2 linked regions of the Lepisosteus oculatus genome follow. The protein of the gene in region 1 interacts with the protein of each later gene in a biochemical or structural test. Links are inferred from orthologs where the notes say so. Each region holds a gene or a part of one and is shown on either strand. Other genes may lie near its edges. The genes, in order: top2a and pias4a.

Region 1 (7,971 bases):
TGGAAGAAAAATAAACTGCTCAGTGACACTCATGTTTGCATGTGCTATTTGCTCTGCTGAGGTGACAGTGTGTTTTGTTATCCCTCTGATGTGCAATTTACAATCAAACTCCTTTCCTGTTGCTCCCTTTCACCATTCCTCTGCAAGGAGACCACAGTGGAGGTTGGACACTCCTTTGGTGTTAAACCAGATAAAATTCACAAATGCAGGGGTAAAGGAGTCTTGATTAATTATTTTATAATTCATTAATTTGTTTATTGCTAGAAGGCATCATTTTGCTGATACTCAAGGTATGTGTTTGTTACAATATGTATTATGAGCAGGTCACAAATCTTTTGCTTGAATGTATTGTGCCCACATAACTGAAGTTCTCCATCTTGTTTTAGAATCCCAAGGCATTTGTGCGTGTTAATTTGTACTTTTGCATGTTACACTAAATAAATAACAACATTATGAAAAATACTGACGTTGACAGCTGTGAGGAGCCTTTCTAAAGCAGTGACAAACTTGTGTGCCATATTCCACACTCACTGGCCAAAATATTAGCAACCCCCACCCCCAGTCAAAGATGCAGGCCATGAAGAGCCTGAGACAGACTTCGATCCCCAGACTTTCTGAACACACAGTATCACAACCTCGACTGAAGGTGACCCAGCTAGAGGAGCTGGGGGATGGCTCAGTGGCTCAAATGGTAATATGCTTGCCTGAGCATTAGGTAGAGTTCTGTGACCTCAGGTTCGAGCCCGGGTCAGGTCACTAACTGGGATGCTGGGATGTCTGGGAATCCCAGAATGGTGGTGAACAGTTGGCCGAGAGCTGCAGAGGGTGGGGAAGGGGGATTAGTCAGCTAGAGAGGTCTTGGATGTTAGCGACAGTGACCCCCTGTGGCCTCCCAGGGACTTGCAGGCTCACGGGGCTGTTGGTAAACAGCCTCTCCTGCAGGGGGCAGTGTGGCACCTTGGATGCCTTTAAGACAAGCGGCTCAGAGGTGGGTGGATCGGAGGGCGTTGCCCCACCTTTCTCGTTCTCTCCTCCCTGTGTGCGGTTGTGGGGTTCGTGAGCTGGGCATCAAAATGTGAAAAACACATGATTAGCTCTTCCAGGCTGGGTGGATATAAGGAGAACAATTGGAGACGCATACATTAAGAAGAAGAAGAATGGGGGCTGCAAACAGATCAGAATTTTGCAGAATACAAGCTACGTCCTCTGCTGTGTTTGCAGCAGGGGGGGGGGTCCTAATATTTTGTCCAACAAGTGTAGCACTCCTGGCGAAGAGTGAAAGAGCCCCAGAATGAGCGGAAAAAGCAGACCGCGGTAAAATAGGGGTTCAGAAATTAACGAAGCGGTATGCTATTGAAACTGAAGGGTTAACACCTTCACTGCAAAACACAGCTAATATTTTATTAATAGTAAGTGCAGCAATCATCAAGATCCTGACGGTTTGCTAACCTGAATATCCGCTGGCGGCACGCTGCATAATGACATCCAAACAGCTAATGAATACATTAGAGATGCAGAGAGAAAGATTTCAGCGCAACATCAAGGATGAATAACATAATTGCCTGAAGGAGCAATTGCAGGGAAAACAATTTCAGCTTTGCTGCTTGCATGTCACCACAGGACATGCTTTTGGTTTTCCTGCTTGTTTTTTTTGGGGGGGGGGGTTCTAGACAAATTTAAAGTTGTCGCCTTCAACTATTTTAGGATATCCCACGCCCAAACCCAGTCCAGAACCTTAAGGCTAAACATAACTTTAAATCTAACTCTAAGTTTGTGCCATTATTGAGCGTAATCCAGCTTTTCTCCCTAAACCTTATTGTGACTCTAAATATAACTCTACTCTGTTGTTCACTCCAATGCTAACCCCACCCCAGCTCTGACAGCTGGGAATAATGGATACCATTGTCAGGCCAAACAATGGATTCCAGTCTAGTGCAGAGTGCCGGATCGTCATGGCACAGGGCCACAGCCGTCAAGTGGCTGGACTCTGTTATTGATGCAGTCTGTGCCTTCCTTGCTCAGTCTTGCACTCTCGGGCTGAGCTCTGCTCTGCTGCCTGACCAAGGGAGGGAGGACTTTGATAGCAGTCCGCCCGGCCTCTTCCCCGTCCATTTTCATCGCTCCTGTGGTGCTTTCCCAGGGTCTACTCTTCGCTGTGTTACAGCCCACAGTCAGGAGTGGATCAATGCTGAATCCGAGACTGCCCCGGCCATCTCTCCCGCACTGGTCGGCACTGACCTCCTTTCCGACCAGTGCCGGGCATTTCCGGCACCTCCTTGGACTTACTGAGGCTGAATTTTACAGTGCCCGGTGCAAGCAAAGGCACTGTGCGCTTCCGCTGGAGATTAAAAATAGTTAAAGGCGTCTTACAATCACAATTACAATCAGTAGGCTTTTTATTGAAGTTAAAATCGGAGGAAAGCAGTTTTGAAAATTCATGGACGTGTGCCCTCTAGCTGTGCTGTAAAGGAGGGATGGTAGGTGAGATGGACACTTGGGAACCTCCAATAAAAGTGAACGCAACTGCTTGACAGCACCTGAGACACTGATCCCTCCAGCAGGGGGCACTGTGACATCAAACGTATTCTAATGCTTCTTTCTCCTGCACTTCTGGCATTTTAAATCATGAAATCATGAAGCACACTTTCAAAACAATAAACACCCATCTAAAATGGCCACATCTATGATGTGTTCTGTTCAGGATTTGAAATGGCTTATATTTCAAAAGGAAATGTCAATGACTTCTGCGTTCTGAGATGCTGTTTTTGACATTTTGGAATCACTTGCAAGGAGAAACTGGTATGCAATGGTTTTTTTTTTCCTAACCGCAAACCATCTATCTAAATGTCATTTTGCTGCAATAAAGGTCTCCCACGAAACAAAGATCCTTAGGCATGTACTGTAAGATAGGATCTCAGAATAACCCTGTCTTTCAATACCTTCACCAAGTCACAAGGGCTGAGGGCCAGACAGAACTAATGACATCAAGCAATAAAGTGTGTCCCAGGAAGATCTGCTTTTGCTGTGTTGAGTGGCCATCTTGCAGCACTGCAGTCTGGCCTCGCTGATCAGCATCAACGCATTGGGATGGGCTTCTATCAGCAACCTTGCCTGGGCTAAATTTAGCCTGACCTTGAGGATCAGCAGGGCCCCCCTTGGGATCCACAGCACAGCCCCTCCGCTGTTTGGAGCCTGCTCACTCCGGCATCAGCACGGGGCCCACAGCTGTCACTCAGTATTAACAGAGCACGCGGGCTGACAGAAAACATCCCCTGCCCGAGCCAGGGCTCTCAGGCCAGCGATCGGACGGCCGCCCAAGTGCAGTGGACGAGCAGGCCCGATGCAGGCGTAGATATGTGTGTAGCATACTCCAACGGCAGCGTTAATAAGCCCAGGCCCTGACCTGCTCCCACATCCGGCTGAAACTGGTATGTGAAGGTGCTGGGCAAGCACACTGTGAACTGGAGAAAGTGGCTATCAAACAGATAGATGAACAGTACCTCTGACAAGCCTGGAATCTCCAGGCGCCTCTCAGCCACTTTGTCAAATAGCTCACTTGTAAAACACAAGTACTGAAGGAAGAAGGGTTCAGAGAACAGGGAGAGGACAGTGCAGACAGTGGGCTCAGCGTGGAGACAGTGTGCACATGGTTACAGGCCAGACTGAGGTTACAGTGAGTCCCATGTCATAATAATAATAATATATAATAATAAACTTTATTTTATATAGCGCCTTTAAAGGTGGCTTCTCAAAGTGCTTTGCAGGATGACAACAACAATAAGAAGAATACACAAGATAAAACACAATTATAATATATAGAGGAGACCACGGACACGTTTAGTCATGAGCTAAATATATATTATATTAAACAAAACAAAAAACAACAGTCACAAAGGCTGAGGAGGATGGTAACAACAACAACAATAATAAAATAATAATAATAATAATAAAATAATAATAATAATAATAATAATAATAATAATAATAATAATAATAATAATAATAATATGCTCACACCGGAAGAAGGCTCCATGGCCGAAACGTTGTTTTCTTTCTTCTTTTCAGAATGGAATAAACCTATTACTTGTTCCTAATAATAATAATAATGTTGCAAATGGGGGGTGACCAGACTGGTGAAAATTACTTTCCACAGATAAACACAAACGGGGTGGGGTGAGAGCGTACAGTGACGGGGGGTTACAGCGAGAAATAGCTTTTTTTGCTGGTCTTCACGTGTTAACTTTTGCTTGGAACACGATGCCATCTATCGGATATCCTTATCGGTACACATAGTCGACATTTCTTCCTGATTATGCTAGCGAGCTGGTCCTGCCGCGGCAAATAACGTGTTCTCAAGCTCCAGAGAGGTTTCCACATGGAGTCATAATATAGAGTCCTGTATTCGGGGGAAGTCTTTTTACATACAGCGTTACTGCATACAGTTTAAAGTACGGATACATAACTGCACAAACAAAATAAAAATCTTATAACAACAACGTTTAAAGTCCAGCTTTGCACAATCGTAGTGCATTTTGGATCAAAGCTATTAAAAAAAACCCTACAGCTGCTTAAAGATTATTAAACCTACGATTCAGCGCGAAACCAATGCTGGTTACTCTCCTCTCTTGATGTGATTGGCTATTTCAACTTGCGACGCACCGCCCCGTCCTGTCCACGATAACCAATGTGAGACGAAGAACATGTTGCTGTGTCCTGTGATTGGTCAATGACAGCACTTGAGCGGAAACAGCCACGAAAAAAAAACAATTTCAAACGGAAGTCAGTAGGCTTCGCGGGATCTGATTGGTCAATCTTTGAAGCGCAATGTAAACGTATTTTTAAATTTGAAAATGCAGTTCGGTGAAGGGTTGGCTCTTTGTCGGTTGTGGTAGTCAGTGTTATTCTGTAGAGGTTTAAAGTGTAGTGCTAGGTTCGGTTGAGAGGGTTTTGTTAGCGTTGATATTTTTAGCTTTATTCATCTGTTTTAGTAAAACAGCCATTCTCTGTTTTATATAGGTTGTAATACCGCTCGAATAGTTAAGAAATGGCCTCTGAAGGAACGCTGAAGGTAAGGTTAATGTCGACGAGCATGCTGGTGGTATCTGTGGAGGGAAAACCGAAATCTGGAGCCGAATGCTTACTTGAAAATATTATATACCTGTTTCTTTCCTCGTCTGTGCACGATTAAACAATTCTATTTCATTTGGGCTAATAAACACGGTTTTACATTCATGTTCAAAACCGTTATGTAAGGCAAAAAGACTTGCGGGGTGGAGGGAGTTTTTAATCTGGGATTATGAAAACAATCAGAACAGTAAAAAACTGGATTTATGACCGCATTCCAATCCTCCAATGCTAAAATATTATTTTAATGTAAAGTTTTCCAGATAAGTGCTTTCGATTTCGTCTTGGGACATATTTTCTTTTTTCTTTTCTGGCGAGGGTAAATTGTCCTGTTTGCGTGCAGCCTGCGATCGCAGCCGGTGATGGGTATGAAAATCAGATTTCAGATCGTGAATGTCCCCAGGTCGTTGAAGTGCTTACAAAATGGCGAGAACTGGACTCAGTTTGTCATGCCCCCTGACGGTCATCCTACCTCGATTTCCCTAAAACTACGATTCCGTGATTTCTGCTTTACTTATTCGGCTGCAAGAACTGAATTATTGACCAGTTCTCATCTTACTGTCCCAGCGGAACCAAGGAAAGTAGAGTTCGGCGTTTTGATAACCTTTCTTAATTACCACAGTGACAGGCATTGTATCTGGGACGAAGAATTTTCCGAGATATTTCAATTATAAATTTTGGGGGTAAATATTGTGGGGTTTGACTAAATAGAACGCAGCTGCTACATGGGATGTCTAGTCTTTCTTGTGTACAGAAACGAAAGACTATTTACACTTGCAAATGTTAAGTGCTTCGGTCTGGGACGAGCGGGGCGGAAGAGCGTTGTCCGTTAACTTTTTTTTTTGGTCAAGTTTACAATCTGGTGGCAGCGAGCCGAACTTCAGTCCGTCCCGTCCCCCTAAATCTTTTTAAATCCCTACCGCCTGTGGCATTGACACGCATCGCTTTCTTCTCTTACGACACCAGAGTAAGGCACAATCATTTCATGCAGCACTTTTCCTGTGGGAAGTTAAAAACCGTTTCAGACTCCTTGATGGCATGAGCTAAACGGTAAACCGAACTTCACCTCTGCAGGGCTGGTTTTCATTCCAGCGCACCTATTAATAATACAATTGAACTGGTAATTGGCTTCATTTAAGCTCTTTTGCCAGAACTTTTCCCTGCTGTGGATCTTTAAAACCCGCTGGACAGTGGCTCTCCCAGACGGGGATTCTAAATACCAGTCCACAGGGCGCGTTTGTAAAGCCAAATTGCTGTCGCCCACCTCTTGCCCTTTTGTGTCCCCTGCAGACGATGTTTGAGAACAAGCCTGTGAGCAAGGCGAAGGATGATAAGCGTCTGTCTGTGGAGAGGATCTACCAGAAGAAGACGCAGTTGGAGCACATTCTGCTCCGTCCCGACACCTACATCGGGTCTGTGGAGCCCGTGACACAGGTGAGCACTTGTGACACAGGCGGGCAGGCACCTGGCCATGCAGTTTGCAGTGTGGCAGCTCTTTATATATCCGGGAAAGTGTAGGCAGAGGCTGGATTCATGCTGTTTATTACCCCGTTTTAGTGGATGGATGTTATTTTTGTCAACTCAAAGCTAGTGCATTAATACTTTCGTGATCATTTAAGGGAGGGTGTCTCATATCTTTTCGCCATGTGTACTCTAAACTGTAGTACATTATGCAATGGTACAAGGTTATATGTCAGTTTGGTTGTTTGTGATGGTTCTCTGCACTGAACCCTTGTGGATGTTGAGAACCTGCTGTAGTTGGACAGTCCAGTAAGAAATGCAGCCTATGGTGGATTCCCTAGTTTCTAGTATGTTTCCTAATGCAGAGTTCCGGCATGCTTTGCAATGTTACTGCATTGAATGAAGGCTGTGGCACCAGTCAACTAACAATCAGCTCACACTGAAATCTTGTTGAAGAGCCCCAGTTTGATGTTCCACAATAGATAACTAAGTTTTGATGGCCTTCTTTTCTAGCAAATGTGGGTGATGGATGAAGAAATCGGAATGAACTGCAGAGATGTGACTTTTGTTCCTGGCTTGTACAAGATCTTTGATGAAATCCTTGGTAGGTACTAATCAATAATGTGAGGTGGTGTCAGAGTAGCCTTCTGCTGTAATAATTTGTGCTTAATTGACAAAGATGTGTCTCTCTTCCGGACATTGTTATACCATACAGCATTGAGCCATTGATCTTTTTCATAGCGCCACAGGATAATGGACGGTGTGTATTTGTTTTCTAACATTGCCGTAAGAGGATATTTCCATGGATCCTTTTGACTCTGTGCATATTAATGATCAACAGTATTAAACACAGCTTTTCAAGATTATTGAAAATTGAGCTAGAAAATCTGTTCTTCTGTTTGAAAAATAAGTAAAAGCCTAAATCTAAGATCTTGTTTTTCTCCAGTGAATGCTGCAGATAACAAACAGCGGGATAAGAAGATGTCCTGCATCAAGATCAACATTGACCCGTGAGTGATGTTCTAGAATATAGTCAAGGGTGCAATCGAGTCGACAGTTTAGCGTTAACATTTTAACATTTCAGTACCTAGAGTGTTTTTTTCAAATGTAGATACTTTATTTTATTGTGGTTTCGGAACTGAAAACCATGAAAAAGCTCAAGTTAAATAAATCCCTGGATCATTTAACAGTAAATGACTTAATTGGAGGAAAAATCAAAAGCCACTGGGCTTCGCAAACCCTGCCTTAGTCACATACTTGCCCTGTAATCCACCGCTACACTTATTCCTACACTAGTACACTATTATGGAAACAATTATCAATGACACACCTCTAAAAAATCACTTGAGTGTCACTGACTCTCGGAAATCCTTTCTATCACCTGGA
Region 2 (7,646 bases), on another chromosome or scaffold:
ACATCCTGCAGCTCCAGGGGCGATTAAACACTGGACAGCGGCCTCCCTCCAGCAACCCCTGAGCCGACCGCTCTGCTACGGGAGCGAGGGATGGGATGAGGGAGAGACTGGGGCTGCCCAGCCCGAGGAATTCTATCAGAGCCCGGTCGATAATGTGAAGATCCGGCTGGGTGCCCCCTTTGAAGACTGCAGTCTAGCTTTTCTGCTGTGGCACCACGCTGGGGTCAGGCTCCAGTTTTCCCCCCACATCAGAGGATACACGACCTGCACTTCCAAAAAGCTACCAACGTACAACCATTACAGATATTTAACCTCTGGGAACATTCAATATCTCAAAGCACAGCAGCGGTGTGAGCCTTGAGTATTGCACTCAAGTGTTTCCCAGGAACAGTGATCCCGTATTGAGCCTCATCTTCCTGCGACAGAGAGGGAGACAGGCGAGATTCCCCAGAGAGAGCACACTCACCTGAGCACCACCTGGACAGACTTCACCCCGAGGCGCAGCTCCCTGGAACAGGAGACAGAGCGATCACTCAACACGGTTCTCTCTTTTTTTTGGCATGTAGGACATGTAGGTATTAAAGCACGAGCCTGTAAATGTCCGGATAGTAACCAGATGAAGAAGAGGTGGGTATTGAGCTCCTGCAGGTTTGGGAGCAGAGAGAGAGAGAGAGAGAGAGAGAGAGCTCACCGAGAATTCCTGATCTGCTCCACCTGGCTCTGGGACAGCTCAAAGGTGCACGGGCTGTCCTGGAGTTTCTCGCTGTTCTGGGGCACTAGGGAGACAGAGAGACAGTTACAGACCAGACTCGGGAAAGCTCTGCCAAAAAAGACTGTATCCCAGCGGCCTCCCCCTGGACCTGGGCAGTGTCTGTAGGTTTTCCAGGTCTCTTTAAAGCAGCAGCACCTGCAGGTTGAAGCTGTTCAATTGGTCCAATTAAGCCACTAACGAGCATCTTCAGCCATCAAGACCTTGGCTCCAATAAAAACCTGCAGTTTGCAGGGAAGCCGGAACCCGGGACCTGTTGGACAGTCCTGCTCCAGCCCAGGTGCTGCTGAAAAGACCGAGAATCTTGTCTCCAGTGAACTTCTGTTCACAGGGGTCACTGAAGGTCGGAAATCGCAGAATAAGAGAAACCGAACTACAAAGCAAACAGCAGGAAACAGAGGAGGGAGAGGGGAGACCACACAGGAGAAAGGGCACGGCCAGCAGCTCTCCCGGACGGGTCGGGGGGGACTCACCGAGCTCGGTGGGGTGCAGCAGCACGTCCACAGTCTTGTAGAAGGGCAGGGGCACCAGCTTGACGTCGGTGGGGGGTGTGGCGGCGGTGGCGGTGGCGGCGAGGCCGTTGAGGTAGTCCGCGCCCTGCGGGGGGGCCGGGGCCGGGTGCGGGGGGCTGCGGGCCGGGTAGGGCGCCTGCAGCAGCTCGGGGGGCCGAGGCCGCTGCGCCAGCCAGCCGGGCGCCTTGGGGAAGCGCGACTCGTACAGCTGGCGGATGGTCTTGAGCAGCTCCGGGCTGCACTCGCTCTGCACCAGCCGCAGGGCCCGGCCCACCAGGTCCTGCTTCAGCCCGCTCTTGCTGCGGCCCATGGAGGACAGCAGCGTCTGCAGGTCCGACACCCGGAAACTCTTCACCATGTTCTGCGGGGCGGAGAGGAAGACAAGAGACGCTGAGCACCTCCTCTCCGGACCCTGGACCCCCTCCCCGTCCCCCCAGACTCGTCGACATGCGCTGGGCGACCTCCTCCTGCTGCACCCCAGAGCCCCAGAGGGCTGTCTCCAAGGCAATTGGGGTCCCCTCTCCCCTCTCCCCGAGAGGGGACCGATCCGGACTCCACCCCTTCCTCTTCAGAAGCGCTTTGCCCGAACTGGATCTGCCTGCCCTTTGCACCGCGGGCCGCACTCAGAACCCTTGTTCTTTACTGGAAAGCACTTTAAAAAGCAGCTTTGAAAGGCGCTATATAAAACAAAAGATCCGCACGCAGCATCGACTCCTCTCCCCAAGCAGGAGACCAGAGGCACCGCTGTGGAAACTGGCGACACCGGGCAAGCCCTCCCAGCGCCCGGCTGCCTCTCAACACAAGCCCTTCACCCCAGGACGAGCCAGCCGGACTCGTCTTTGCTCCGCCTGCGTGCAGCCCGCAGACGCGGCCGGACCCTTACAGAGCAGCCGACACACCCGCCGGGGGCTCGGACAGAAACCCACGGGCACAAGACGTCACGCCAGCGGAGCCCGAGAGGACTAAAGGCGAACAGGGCTGACGACTTCTCTCAATCAAACAGCACGGAGTTCTCTCTAAATCCATCCGGCGAAAATCAGACTGCAACAACAGTTATGATCAGCTTTGAAGCGGGGCTTCCGTCTGCGTCGGCTGTTGCCCGTCTGCACACCGGGGCGCTGCTGGCTCTGCTCAGCCGGGGAGCACCAGCGCAGGGGGGCTGCTTTGCATCTCCGCCGGCTGGGGACCAGGCACGGGTGACGGCAACGACGGGTCGGGACTCCTGCGCTGCTCGGCGTCTCCAGCCACAGACGCCGACAAGGGTGCGCTCATCGGGGTCACCGCGGCGCCCCGGCCTCACGCTGGCGCCGGCCAGGTGCCGAGCCCGGACACCGGCCCTGCAGCTCCCTTCCCCCTGGGGGCAGCGGACAGGTCCGCCTCTCTCTCGCCGGGAAAAACACACCTCGTCGCTGTCAACCCGTGAAGACGGAAGCCCCTCTCACGCCGCGCAGGGTCCCTTCAGCTGCAGGCACACGCCGGGTGCGAGGTGCCGAGCTTGCAGGAGGGGAGTGAATGATTAAACCCGAGCCGCTCCGACTCCCCGCTGGCGGATGTTTTTATTTATGGATCTATCATTCATTATCCCATATGCCAGCGACCCCTCTTCACAACGGCTCTGCCCCCTGGCGTGAATCTCCCTGCCACCCCCAGCCTCGCCGCGCTGGGCTCCCGCCCTCCCCAGCCTCGCCCGAAGCCCCCGCTCGGCTGCCCCGGCCGCCCCCCGGCCCCTTGCCCAGCCGCCCGGGAGAAAGCAGCTCTCGACTTGCCATCGCTTCCACTAGCTCGGCCGCCATCTTCCTCCAGCAGCCCCGCGAGAGCCAAAACTAAGAAAGCGAGCTGGCCGCCAATGAGAGGCCGCGGGGTCACGTGCGGGGGAGCCGGGCCCACCAATCGGCGCACGGCCCGGTCACGTGGTGCGGGGGACTGCGCAAGAAAGGGGCGTGGCCGCTGGCTCTTAAAGCGACAGTGTTAGCAAAAAGTCGGGTCACACTTCCACATAGGCTGCCAGTGGCGCGCTAGGCCTCGGCACCCTAAAAAGGCGCATGGGCTGCCTGATATCACGGGGTGCCACCTTTTAGAGCTTGATAACCCCGGAATGAACGTGCGCTCCGAGGCAGCGCCAGGGTCTTCTTACATTAATCGCGTTTCTTTAGCGGTGTCAGTCGGAAGACAGCATGAGTCTGGGAGACTCCAGTCCGTATCCAGAATTCTACTTCACACCTCGCGTCCAACCAAACGGCTTTAGGAGAAGGAATGCAATGTGCGTTTTTAAACAGGTCCAACATCTTAATTAGATCATATCTTTTTTTCTTATCGACAGAAAGGCTTATGGAAATGTTTTTGTCTGGAAGGTTTGTAGAAACCAGTGTCTGATATTTTGCACTTTGTTAAAAAGATGGAAATGAGTGTCAGAATTGTGCATTCTAGGAGCTGGATCCAGGAATCCATTTCCATGTCTTTGAAGCTGAACAGCTCTTGTAAAACTGAATTAGTTAGGAAGGACACAAAGATACGCACACCCTGTAACCCCAAGTCCTTCCACAGACTGTTCATTCGGAATGATGTGCCAGGCATGACATCTCCAGCTCTAGGCTGTGGATAATACACAGTCGCCCCACCGTTCATGAAACCTTACTTTTTTTCCCCCATTTCCATGTTAACACACCAATTTCACGAAGACACACAGACTTTCGCAGTAACACACACTAACACACAGTAACACACAGTGTGAACATGTCTGGCCAGTGAGCAACCCCACCAGCAGGAGGAGGGTGGAGGAAAGATGAAGATGGTGAATGGCTGTGCCGGATCTCCCATGGGGCCGTGCTGGCACAGCTGCTAGGGCCTAGGACATTTTTAGGGCCTACGAAGGAGGGAAACACTCCTGACTGACGAGCTGAAACAACATGCTTGCTCCACATCAACAATCCCACGCTCTCTAGCAGCTGTTCTAGAAACTAGAAGTGTGGAAGTGATGGTCTCTCGACTCGCCCCATCAATCGCCTGGTTTAGCATGAGAAGAGCGTAGAGAGGTTATGAGGAGCCATCGTAAATAGCTGTCAGTGTTTGCTGTTTGTCCTTGTAACCCACTGAAAACTGAAGTACCCCTCCTTAATTCTTACCGCGTGTGTGTGTGTGTCAGTGTGTGTGTCAGTGAGTGAGTGTGCGTGTGTGTGTAACCCCTTCAAGGAGTTTTAATCTCTGTCTATCAAGTCCAACAGGCGGAGGTAAATAAACGAGTTGTTGTTGGCACATCAGGGGTGTGTGAGCTCCATTCTGTGCGAATCCCCCGGTCCTCACAATAGTTTAAAGTGCATCATGTCAATCGACGTCATTCAACTGGCGTTGACCCCTCTCCTGGCACATTTCGGAGTGAAAGTGCCGAGGGCCGACGAGCACCACAGTCCGGCCCTGGCGAGAGGGAGAGTCAGTGTTTGTCAGCGGGGGATGATGGGATGTTGCTCTGGGAGCGCAGGCAGGGAGACCGGCTGTCAGGCTCAGGAGCAGTCGTCGGGTGGCCATGTCTCACTCTGCTGGGATTAGACTGCAGATCGTCGGGGGACAGACCCTGTCACCTGCAGTGAGTCTACCTCATTCCTTCCTCCCCTCCGGCCTCCAGGAGCCCCAACAGCTGTTCTGAGGAGTGTTTCATGCCGGTCAGGACACTGGCCCGCAGTGGGTCTCGTGGAGCAAGACAGCGCAGACACTGGGCAGACACTGTGAGCAGCTCGCCACAGAAACGGAGCTGACCAGCTGTGATCCTGCCTCTCAATTGCAGGACTCCCCCCAGGAGGTCCAAGACTGGACAGAGCAGGATGTGCAAGTGCAAGAGCACTACTACCGTTCTTATGCAAACATTTTATTTCAAATCCACCTGGGAATCTAGAAGTGTTGCGTTCCTATCGATATATATATATATGAATTATATATGTATTCCTATATATATTTTTGTGTGTGCGTGTCTAAGTCTGCTCCTGGAGCATTATAAGGACAGACAGCATTGCGCGTTGTGACAGGCAGGAACACTCGCGGTCGAAGCCACTCTGTTTCTGGAGTTACTCCATCCCGCCGCCAGAGGTCGCTGCGTGCAGCTCCAGGCGCGACCTCTAATCTCGCGAGATTTATGTTGCAACCCTGGACCGGATTCCGCTGATCGTGAAGGATGTGTGGGTGACAGATCTCGCGAGATTCCGTGGGACCCCTCCTGGCCGCGTCTGCTGCTACTGCTACTGCTTCCTGAACCGGGACCCGAACTGAGTCCCCGCCGCCCAGCTGAGAGCCTAACCGAGCCGGCGTCCCCCGGCCCATCCAGTGGACATTCGCCGCAGACACCCCGCTCACGCCCTCTCCCCGCCGCAAGGGCCGCGCAGCCTCGGGCTCTAGTGTTCGCTGCCACCGGGGGACCCTGCCTCCCTTTTCCGCGTCCGCAGAGCCGGAGACAGGCCGCGGCCGCGGTGCGCCCCAGGACAACACCAGAGACGGTCTTTCTCTCTAAACAACAGCTGAAGACTCTGAAGGAAAGGAAAAGAGACAAACGCGGTGATATGCTGTTTATTTATTTTTTCCTGGCGTCTTCCTTCAAGTGATCACTTTTCCGTACGTGTCTGAAGGTACCCGGGGGACTCGCACCTTGAAGAGGAGACTCGGGTGTTTTCAACGTTTCAAAAGCTGCAAAACCCGATTCTAACCTCCGCGCTTCGGGACGGGCAGAGGTGCCGGGGCCGCGATATTCATCCTGTCGGATGCAGACGTCGATCCGTGTGCGGTAGTCGCGCTGCTGCTGCCCGTGTCCCAGCCCCGCCGGCAGACCGGTGGCCATTAGCGACCCACCTTCCCGACCGGACCGGACCGCCCGCCCGCAGCTCTTGAGAAGGGGATGTCGCTGTGAAGAACAGCATCTCAGCTGTCAAAAAACACCCACTATCGGGGCACTCGTGCATTTCAGCTTTAATTGTCCAAAAGAAAACCTTTCCCAAGCCGGCCTGTAGAGGCGGGTGGGGGCTGCAGTCGAGACGGGGCCGCCGAAATCTCTCTCTATGTTTTAATCTGGGCTCCCGACTGGAGCTTCTGATTCAGCGAACCAGCGCCGAGTCGGTTTTCCCGGTCCAGTGCGAGCTGTGCGGGCTGGGTCGCGCCTGAGGCCCGAGCGAGATGGCTCCGAAGAAGAGGCCGATGCCGCTGAACATCACCCCCACGGGCGGGGAGGGCCAGCCCGGTCCCAACGCCGTGGACGCCGCGTCCGAGTGAGTACCTTCCGGGGGGAGCGGGTCAGCTGCTGGGGGGGGGGGGGTGTTAATGTGTTTAAAAAGTCTTCTTGCCCGAAAGGTTAGTGCATCAGTGGCCTGGAGTGAAAACGTAGCCGCGGAGCAGGGCTGAGCTGATACCGGGCGTGTGTAGGGTGTGTCGGGGGTTTGAGACCCGCTTGCTGACGGACACATCAGCAGGAAGGGTGCGACAGCGGGGTCTGGACTGGAAGGTTGGGGGTCCCCCCCCTGAGCCGGATGCTGCACCCAGAGAGCCGCAGGGAAAGACCCCGCTGTAGGAGAGGGCGCACATGGGAGTCGCTTTGTATCAAAGGGCATCGGGGAAAGATCAGTAACCTGTCGAGTTTCACCTGTTCAGACCAGTTTGTCATGAGCGCTCCCATACAAAGACATTAAAGGAATCGCCCAAAACACCAACACTGAGCAGCAGCAACAACAATAAGTTAATAAATGAGTAGCTCAGCGTAAAAGAGTGCAGGGCAGCAGTGTGTTCAGTAGCTCAGGGTGAGAATGCAGGGCAGCAGTGTGTTCAGTAGCTCAGGGTGAGAATGCAGGGCTGCAGTGTGTTCAGTAGCTCAGGGTGAGAATGCAGGGCTGCAGTGTGTTCAGTAGCTCAGGGTGAGAATGCAGGGCAGCAGTCTGTTCAGTAGCTCAGTGTGAGTGCTGGGCAGCAGTGTGTTCAGTAGCTCAACGTAAGAGAGTGCAGGGCAGCAGTGTGTTCAGTAGCTCAGTGTTATAGTGCTGGGCTGCAGTTTGTTCAGTAGCTCAGTGTTACAGTGCTGGGCTGCAGTGTGTTCAGTAGCTCAGCGTAAGAGAGTGCAGGGCAGCAGTGTGTTCAGTAGCTCAGCATGAGAGTGCTGGGCTGCAGTGTGTTCAGTAGCTCAGCATGAGAGTGCTGGGCTGCAGTGTGTTCAGTAGCTCAGCATAAGAGAGTGCAGGGCAGCAGTGTGTTCAGCAGCTCAGTGTGAGAATGCAGGGCAGCAGTGTGTTCAGTAGCTCAGCATGAGAATGCAGGGCAGCAGTGTGTTCAGTAGCTGAGCGTGAGAGTGCAGGGCTGCAGTGTGTTCAGTAGCTCAGTGTGAGAGTGCAGGGCTGCAGTGT

The links.
Region 2: of the proteins of top2a (region 1) and pias4a, one has a biochemical effect on the other in vitro, tested with the Homo sapiens proteins (2 studies listed by BioGRID). The link is inferred for Lepisosteus oculatus from reciprocal best matches to the Homo sapiens genes TOP2A and PIAS4.

The regions. Positions count from the first base shown.
Region 1 is NC_090723.1:6,354,283-6,362,253, forward strand, and holds the start of top2a (DNA topoisomerase 2-alpha), read left to right. Parts: upstream 1-4,830; 5' UTR 4,831-5,044; coding exon 5,045-5,068; intron 5,069-6,414; coding exon 6,415-6,558; intron 6,559-7,098; coding exon 7,099-7,189; intron 7,190-7,531; coding exon 7,532-7,595; intron 7,596-7,971. UniProt on the Homo sapiens protein: Key decatenating enzyme that alters DNA topology by binding to two double-stranded DNA molecules, generating a double-stranded break in one of the strands, passing the intact strand through the broken strand, and religating the broken strand.
Region 2 is NC_090724.1:8,882,471-8,890,116, forward strand, and holds the start of pias4a (E3 SUMO-protein ligase PIAS4-A), read right to left. Parts: upstream 3,129-7,646; 5' UTR 3,075-3,128; coding exon 3,048-3,074; intron 3,019-3,047; exon of another isoform or gene 2,684-3,018; intron 1,643-2,683; coding exon 1,243-1,642; intron 777-1,242; coding exon 692-776; intron 509-691; coding exon 467-508; intron 1-466. Other genes in the region: map2k2a (dual specificity mitogen-activated protein kinase kinase 2), read left to right, coding at 6,433-6,524.